Linked DNA regions of Xenopus tropicalis. The protein of the gene in region 2 interacts with the protein of the main gene of each other region in a pairwise test. Links are inferred from orthologs where the notes say so. Each region holds a gene or a part of one and is shown on either strand. Other genes may lie near its edges.

Region 1 (4,202 bases), on a different chromosome or scaffold from region 2:
AGGCACTCACACATGCATAAAAAATTTCCGCAATTTTTTTTTTTACCTTAAAGGAAACATATCCTATAAAAATGATGAATGTACCAGTAAATTATACTGCTCTAGATATAGAAGGAATGTGCTGAAAAAAGTTGTGTTTCAGACTGATTTATTGAGAAATTCCACCAAAACCCCACTAGTCCCGTCCATCCGCTCCACTTCCTGCTGGCTGAATTCTCTGGATAAGCTGGCGGATCTCAGTACACTACAGAGGATAGGAACCAATCAGCAGCTAGGCTGACCTGATAGGGAACTGAAGCCTGTCTGTGCTTGTGTGACTGCAGGGCTGTGATTGGCTATGCCCCCTCCTACTGTGCTTCTGGCAGGGACCGTTAGGAGAAGGGATAGGATCTATAGGGAGCTCCAATAAAGGGGCCATTATTACAGATAGGATTAATGTTTAGCCCAAAGGGAAACCAGCACCATATATTATTCATAATTGCCTACAAAATTAGGGTTTTTCCCATATATCCAATATGTCTCCTTTAAATTTAGGTAACGCCTGAGTTACACAGGTATGGTTCCAACTGTTCTTCCTTTTGTTACCCTATATCCCATCTGGTTAGGGACAGTGGTGTAATTTGATGTTACTGGGCCCCAGCACAGTGGTAATAAGACATTTCTAATAACCAGCTCATCGGTAAGTGCCCCAGCAATTGTACATTCGGCTTCCACTGTAATTACACCCCCGGTCATGCTATACAGGCGCTCACAGCAGCTTCACACAAACATAATCCCGATAGTAGCTCGTTTATACAGAGTGGGTGTGGCATATCATACCCCTATACAGCCGATCGTGTCGCATTGATAAACAACCAGCAAAGCGTCCCTGCGTATTACTTGTAATTTAAGTCTACAATTATATCTGAAAACCATGTGTCTAATTTTCATATATTTATCGTACCTATAGAAATATAATCTAGTGTTTAGAAGCAGAACATGTTCCCCTTATTAACAGAGCACAAATCAGCTTCTAAATGTAACTGTTTATAGCCTTCGTTGGAGCCCATCAATCCTTTGGCCACAACAGGTTGCACAGCGGCCACATCGGGCAGCCAAAGGTTTGTCGGTGGGACTCGGGTAAGAGAAGCCATGATGCGCGTGCCCGTGCCAGGGAAGGGCCAGGTCAGCGCTTAGCTGGAAGGCGCCGGGAGCGCGTACGGCGGAGAGCGAGAGCGGCGCAGTGACGTCACGGGCGAGCTGGGAGCCTCACCCAGGCTGGGTTGGTGGCGCTGTGTGTCCCGAGCAGAGGAGGACAAGCGGGCGGCAGGGGATCCCAGGCAGAGCCGGGGCCCATCCAGGAGAAGGAGGACAGCGGGTCAGTGATACTGGGAAATTAACTTAGGCACTAGGGCTTGTGTAAACGAAAGGCTGGGCGAGGGTTGGATGACCGGCCGGAAGAGGGGCAAGGAGTCAGGGCCCGGCCCAAGCAGCAGTTCTACCGAGGCCGGCTGGGTGCTAGATATTCCCGGATAATGGCGGAAAATTCTCATTGGCTAGTCGAGGGCAGTGTAGAGTAGGCACTGTGATGCGGACTTGCCGCTTGGTGGACCTTGGGCGTGCAGGCGGACTTGTGGCAGTGTCCAGAATGCACATGGAAGTGATAATAGCTTGTCACAGCACCCATATCCGCAAGTTAAATACCGATCCTAATGTGATAAACTACAACTCCCAGCATACTCTCAGTGGAACGGGGTTGGCGTTCAGAAATAGCCGCAGGCAGACAGATCTTGGTTTAGTGTGTCACAGTGATTGCTCCTTGATCAACATGCCTTCTTGGAAATATTATAAAATGCCTTTTATGGCAGAAAACTGGGATTCCTATTATGTCCTACCAATTTACAGCATATTACCATGAATGTATACCTTGAATGTGTTCATTTAGTGAAGAACAGGGGTGGAGGTTTGCAGGCTGTTTGCCAAACTTTGCTTTGTCCACTGTATGAGTTACAGCTAGCGCTGACAATGGGGCTTCATGTGCCTTTACCGTTGGATGTTGGTTATGGGTGACCCTAATAAGGGACTGGCTAATCTAATAGCTGTGCCACATCTTAACATCCTGTTTAGATCCCACACATAAGTGTGTGTGTTCTTTTGGGTGTGGGGGGTGGCAGGGTGGTGACAAAGATTTTTTTTTTTTACCTCATCCATCAGTAGATATGACAGTTGTGTTCAGCTATTGAACATACTGCCCACACTAAACTGCAACTAACATTCTTGAACAGCAGAAGAATTTTTGGTTCTTGTAGTTTAACCAGAGATGTAGGTTACGTGTTGAACATTCCTAATAAATGCACACTTGAAATGTTATTACTTTTTGTTAATAGCCTTAAGTTAATACTGTGTTTAAGCTAAACTCTTTATGAATGTGGTGAACAGGATTAAGCCCCCACCTAAATCTTTCGTAAGGAAAGATAGCAGTAGTCACATCAGAACAGCCCTTTTGTGGTCTGTATGGGGAAGGAAAAATGCTGTTTTCTGTTCCTATAAACTGGCCACTAAGCGAGTTGAGTAATATCTCTTGTATAGAGAGTGATCCATTTGTAAATCACCCCACAGATGAAACTAACAAAATGGGCCTTGGGGTGTGGCTTTGTATTGCTGTTGCAAGGAAAGGGTTAAGTTGACTGGTTAGCTCAATAGGGCAGGCTTGCAAAGTGTTGGGCAGCTAGTTATATCAGGAAGTAGTATCTCACTTGTCATGTTTATGTCCACATATTATTTTAAACTGTTTAGTTATATCCCTTATTAATGCTGATATAAATGAGACACTGCATTACACCATTTCCAAAGCTTAAAAGGGTGGTTCACCTTTAAGTTAACTTTAAGTATGTTATAGAAAGCCAATTCTAAGCAACTTTTCAATCAGTCTACATTATTTATTTGTTATTGTTTTTTAATTATTTGCCGCCTTCTAACTCTTTGCAGCTTTTGAATGGGGGTCACTGATCCTGGTGGGCAAAAAACTATTACTTTGTGAGGCTGCAGTTAATTGTAATTGTTAATTTATATTACATATCTTTCAATTCAGGTCCTCTCCTATAAATATATCAGTCTCTCATTCAAACCACTTCCTGGTTGCTAAGGTAATTTGGACCCTAGCAACCAGCTGTTGAAACTCCAAACTGGAGAACTGCTGAATGAAAAATTGAAATAATTAAAAAACTAAATAATAAAAAATGAAGACCAAATGCAAATTGTCTCAGAATATTACTCTCTACACAATACAAAAAGTTACCTAAAAGGTAAACAACCCCTTTAAGTAAAGCAACATATGCAGAAAAAACAGCATGTGGAAGTGTGAAAGCAAGTAAAGTCAAAACTTGTGAAAGGGAATGTAATAAGATGGCTTTATTGATTTAGCTCTCTTGCCTGAGAAGTAAAGAGAGAACATCAGATTAGCATTATGGTTGCTTCCTGTTGTGCACTACCGGTTCATGAAGCCTTCAAGTTGTGATGTGAGTTACCAACCGATAAAGCATTTCTGTAATTGTTGCCACAATTTAATGTTTGTGCCTATTTTATCTAGTGACAACTGCTATTAAAATCATTTAAAGTGACAATTACCTTAAAAAAAAAAAAAAAAAACACCTTCAGAACTCCACGTTACTGCTCATCATCCCAAGCTGTTTCTAGCCAGGGAGAACCACAGATAAATGGAAAGAGCTCATTGACTTTTTTTGTGCGATACCACCCTACAACATTTATTAAAGAGCAGAAAACAAAAGCACTCTTTGCTCTTCAATAAATGTTGTAGGGTGGTTTCCTACAAAAATAAACCCATGTGTCCTTTCACTTTAATCATGGAGCTTTATATAAAGACATTGAGGCATTACTGTTCATGCGCATTTTAAAAATGTCAGTATGGAATAATTTCCTTTGGGTAATAGTCATTTTTTGTGTTGTTTGATTGCTAGGCAGTAGTATATGGTGGAGGTCCCAAACTTGTGTACCACATTCAGATGTAAAAAGAGCCAGGGAGCAACACAAGCATGAAAATGTTCTGGGGGTTGCCAAATAAGGTCTGTGATTGCCTATTTGGTAACCCCTGTGTAGACTGTCATCCTACAGGAGGGTTTGTTTGGCATTACACATGGCTTTGAGGCCACTGGGAGTAACATTCATAGGGTTGGTGAGCAACATGTTGCTTGCAAGCCATTGGT
Region 2 (3,651 bases):
ATATAAGATTTTTTCCTGTATATTTTTAATTCCTCTTTACTTTGGGAGCAGATGAATCTCATGGTGAGCTTTAGAAAAGTGCTCTTGCAAGGTCTCCTGCCTTTGCTTTGACCTTAGGGATTGTGGCACTGATGAGCATTTTAGCGGGTGCCTGGGTGTCTGTAGAAGATGCTGAACTTACAGTCTTACGGGGACGGAGAAGAAAATCCAAGCTTGCAGAGCTCATGGCATAGAAAACATTTGCTTTCTCTGGAATAACCAATTCTGATGAGACAAATAATATAACTGTTATTGTACAAACTCAGTAACAGAGTCTCGGTAACACCAGAATATTAATTTCATGACATTACCATATGCTGTAGCTGTGTCATTAAAGGAAAAAGGACCAATCCATGAAGGAGGAAAATTTATGCTGCAGGAGCAGATAAATTATTTTTGCATGGACCAAAACAAATTGGTTCACTATGTGGCAATATGGAAAAATAAAACCTATGTGGGATCTACAAGTGTTTTATATGTCTATAAAAGTAAACAATGTATAACCTGTCTCTATGGCATGCTCCGGAGTACTGGGTATAGAGTATACTCTGTGCAATTAGAATTATCACATATATACAAAGTATCGGTATGTGAATCAAACTGAGATGATAAGCAACCCTCTGGGCACACAACCATATGGGTATCTAGGGCTTCATGTATGATTTATTCAATCAGACATAAACCCTCAACACAAAGGGGAGCAGTATGATAAAACTGCAGGCACGGAAATAGTACACTTAACAATAAATAAACTAATTTTCCTATGGTGCCTTGCACACTTCTGATATTCCCCTTCATTACAGGTATTTTAGCCACAGAATATGCAAGGAAATTATGGGAATTTGGGTCTTGGCTGGGGGACAGCTGACTACTGCAACATTGTATCAATTTTAAATTTAGTCTGAGTAGTACATGGGAAGTCATAAACCGTGAACAAGGCCCTCTAAGTTTTGCATGGATTATCAATTTATTTTGTATGTAATGGCATATTTATTACAGTGTGTAAGCCAACATCACTAGTGATGTTGTCTATAGCAACCAGTCAGCAATTAGGATTTAACAGTCACCTACAAATTAGAAAACCAAAGCAAAGACCTGGCTGGTTGCTATGGGCAACATCACTGGTGATGTTGGCTTACACACTGTAATAAAAATGCCCCTAAATGTGTACTCTAGGGTACTGTACAATACTGCTGAATATGTTGGTGCTTTATAAATACGTGTTAATAATAATAACTGCAAATGAGAAACAGCTAATGCTGTAAATAGCAAGTACAGTTATAAATGACTTAAAAAGCCTTGAGCATTTTTAATTTATACATATTTGAAAGTTGCTTAGAATTACATTTGCGTCCATGCTAAACTTATATTTGGGGTAATATCTGTGTAACCACATATATGAAATTTGCTACAAAAATAAATGACTGATTTCTACTGTCAAAATGCTTCTACAGCAATTGTCAGAATATGGCTCCAACTCAGTTTCACCTCTGAGGTAAATGTGAAACTCTAACCTTTGCCCTCTGGCAGCAGTTGGATGAGTTCCTGTGGCCCTTGAGGAGTCATGTGATGTTTCCTGAGAATTCGATCAATAACTGCAGGTGCTTTTTCCTGACTGCTGATCTGTAAAAGCAGAGCCACTGTTAATATGGTGTGTATGGGCAGTTTCTAAATAATACTGAGTCCTGTTGCCTGCTTACCCTCACACTTTTGTACACACTGTTCTCCTCAGCTGGCTCTACCCGCACACGAATGATGCGATGTTCTGCATTGGAGCCAGTGGGTGAAGAATGCTCTGCTGTATGGTCCAGAGATGGATGAGGCTCTGCAGAAGCATTAATAGCACTTCCACATGAGGCAGAGCGTCTATGAGTGCGTGCCACTGGACTTAATGCAAGAAGCCCTTTCATTGGCAGCTTTGGTGAACTCTGAGTGTCCAGAGCTGGCACTGATGGGCTCTTCTGGTGCTGTTAATGAGAATGTGGCAGTCTTATGTCAAATGCTGGTTATATTGGAAGGAAAAGCAAAAACATGAAAGGGGGAACAAATCAACTATTGAATGATCAGAGCAATTTACAGGGAGATTTTGCTAAAGGAATATGTCATTTAGGCAGTCAAAGATTTTCCAAACATGCCACTACCACTTGGGCCTCAGTCTTACTCAGCAGGTATATAATGTGAAGAGTGCACTTGTATCTTAGCACTCTCTGGGTTTTGAGAAATATCCTTTTGTTACAAAGAGAAAGTAAGTTTGATTACCGGACTAAGGCTGAGAGCCATCTGTCTATCACAAGGTGTATCCCAGGATACTACATGCATGCTAGGTCCAAATGGGGCTGCAATGGCAGCCAGGAGGCTGTAGGGAAAGAGATAGGAATAAGAATATTTACATTATATTAGTATTATAAATGCAATAAGGAAAATCTAGCAGTTGTCCAGTATTTTATTTAATAAATGAATGTCAGACCTAGAGACCTGAGGCTGCATCTGGTTGAAGTATGCTTGGCCAGCATGAAATGCTTTAGCTGAAGAGCTTTGTGTGCAGTCTGTTTATCCACGTAATTGTTTTAGGAAACTGATTTCTCACCACAATAACTTTACACTTAATAGTATGTAAAACAGTATGTAATATGTATATTAAAGACATACTCTCTCGGATTGTTTTCCTGAAAATCATGTCATTTTTAAAACAGAATGGCTTTACTCAAATTTTGAAACTGTTTTAGTTTAACTATCTTTCAATGCAAACAGAGAAAGAATAAGGAAAACTATACCCCCAGAATGAATAATTAACTAACAGTTTATATTATGCTGAGTGACTTATTAAAGAATCTCGCCAAACTGGAATATATATATCAGTAAATACTGCCCTTTTACATCCTTTCCCTTGAGCCACCATTTAGTGATGGGCTGTGTGCTCCCTCAGAGATCATCCAACAGGAAATAATGCAGCTCTAACTGTAACAGGAAGTAGTGTGGGAGTAAAAGGCAGAACTCTGTCCATTAATTGGCTGATGGGGCCTAGCATGTATGTGTCCCTTGGCTTGTTTGTGTGCACTGTGAATCCTATGATCCGAGGGGGTGGCCCTTAATTCTTAAAATGGCAATTTTCTATTTAGGATTACCCAATAGCACATACTACTAAATAAGTATATTTTTATGAAAATGGCTTATGTAGATGAAGCAGGGTTTTATATATGAGCTTGTTTATGCAATATATTATAGAGACCTACATTGTTTGGGGGTATAGTTTCCTTTAAGCAGCAGTACTGTCACTCTCTATAACAGACTATTGACACTCCATTGGTTGAGAAATTCTTCGTTGCCAGTGCTGTAGGGGTTTGAGTCTTTTACATGATTATGTTAAATTATGTAGAGAGATTAATATAGATAACTTAATAAGGCAAAAGAAACCAGTTATAGTAGTTTTAAACATGTAATATGTAAGATATATAAATTTAAAAATTGTGTTAGAATTTGGCTGAATGCCAGCACTTTTTGCACGATTCAGATCTTGAAGAAAAAAAATGAATGTGAAAACTCTTTGTTTACAAACAGATTTCTAGATTGTGTTCAGATTAGAGATCTGGGAAATCACAAGTGTTCATTCTG

The links. The genes of interacting proteins can lie anywhere in the genome.
Region 1: the proteins of rgl2 (region 2) and rap1b interact in a two-hybrid assay, tested with the Homo sapiens proteins (2 studies listed by BioGRID and IntAct). The link is inferred for Xenopus tropicalis from reciprocal best matches to the Homo sapiens genes RGL2 and RAP1B.

What each region holds. Positions count from the first base shown.
Region 1 is NC_030679.2:58,775,448-58,779,649, forward strand, and holds the start of rap1b (ras-related protein Rap-1b precursor), read left to right. Parts: upstream 1-1,271; 5' UTR 1,272-1,357; intron 1,358-4,202. UniProt on the Homo sapiens protein: GTP-binding protein that possesses intrinsic GTPase activity. Contributes to the polarizing activity of KRIT1 and CDH5 in the establishment and maintenance of correct endothelial cell polarity and vascular lumen.
Region 2 is NC_030684.2:72,113,133-72,116,783, forward strand, and holds part of rgl2 (ral guanine nucleotide dissociation stimulator-like 2), read right to left. Parts: intron 2,396-3,651; coding exon 2,299-2,395; intron 2,007-2,298; coding exon 1,740-2,006; intron 1,663-1,739; coding exon 1,554-1,662; intron 265-1,553; coding exon 71-264; 3' UTR 1-70. UniProt on the Homo sapiens protein: Probable guanine nucleotide exchange factor. Putative effector of Ras and/or Rap. Associates with the GTP-bound form of Rap 1A and H-Ras in vitro.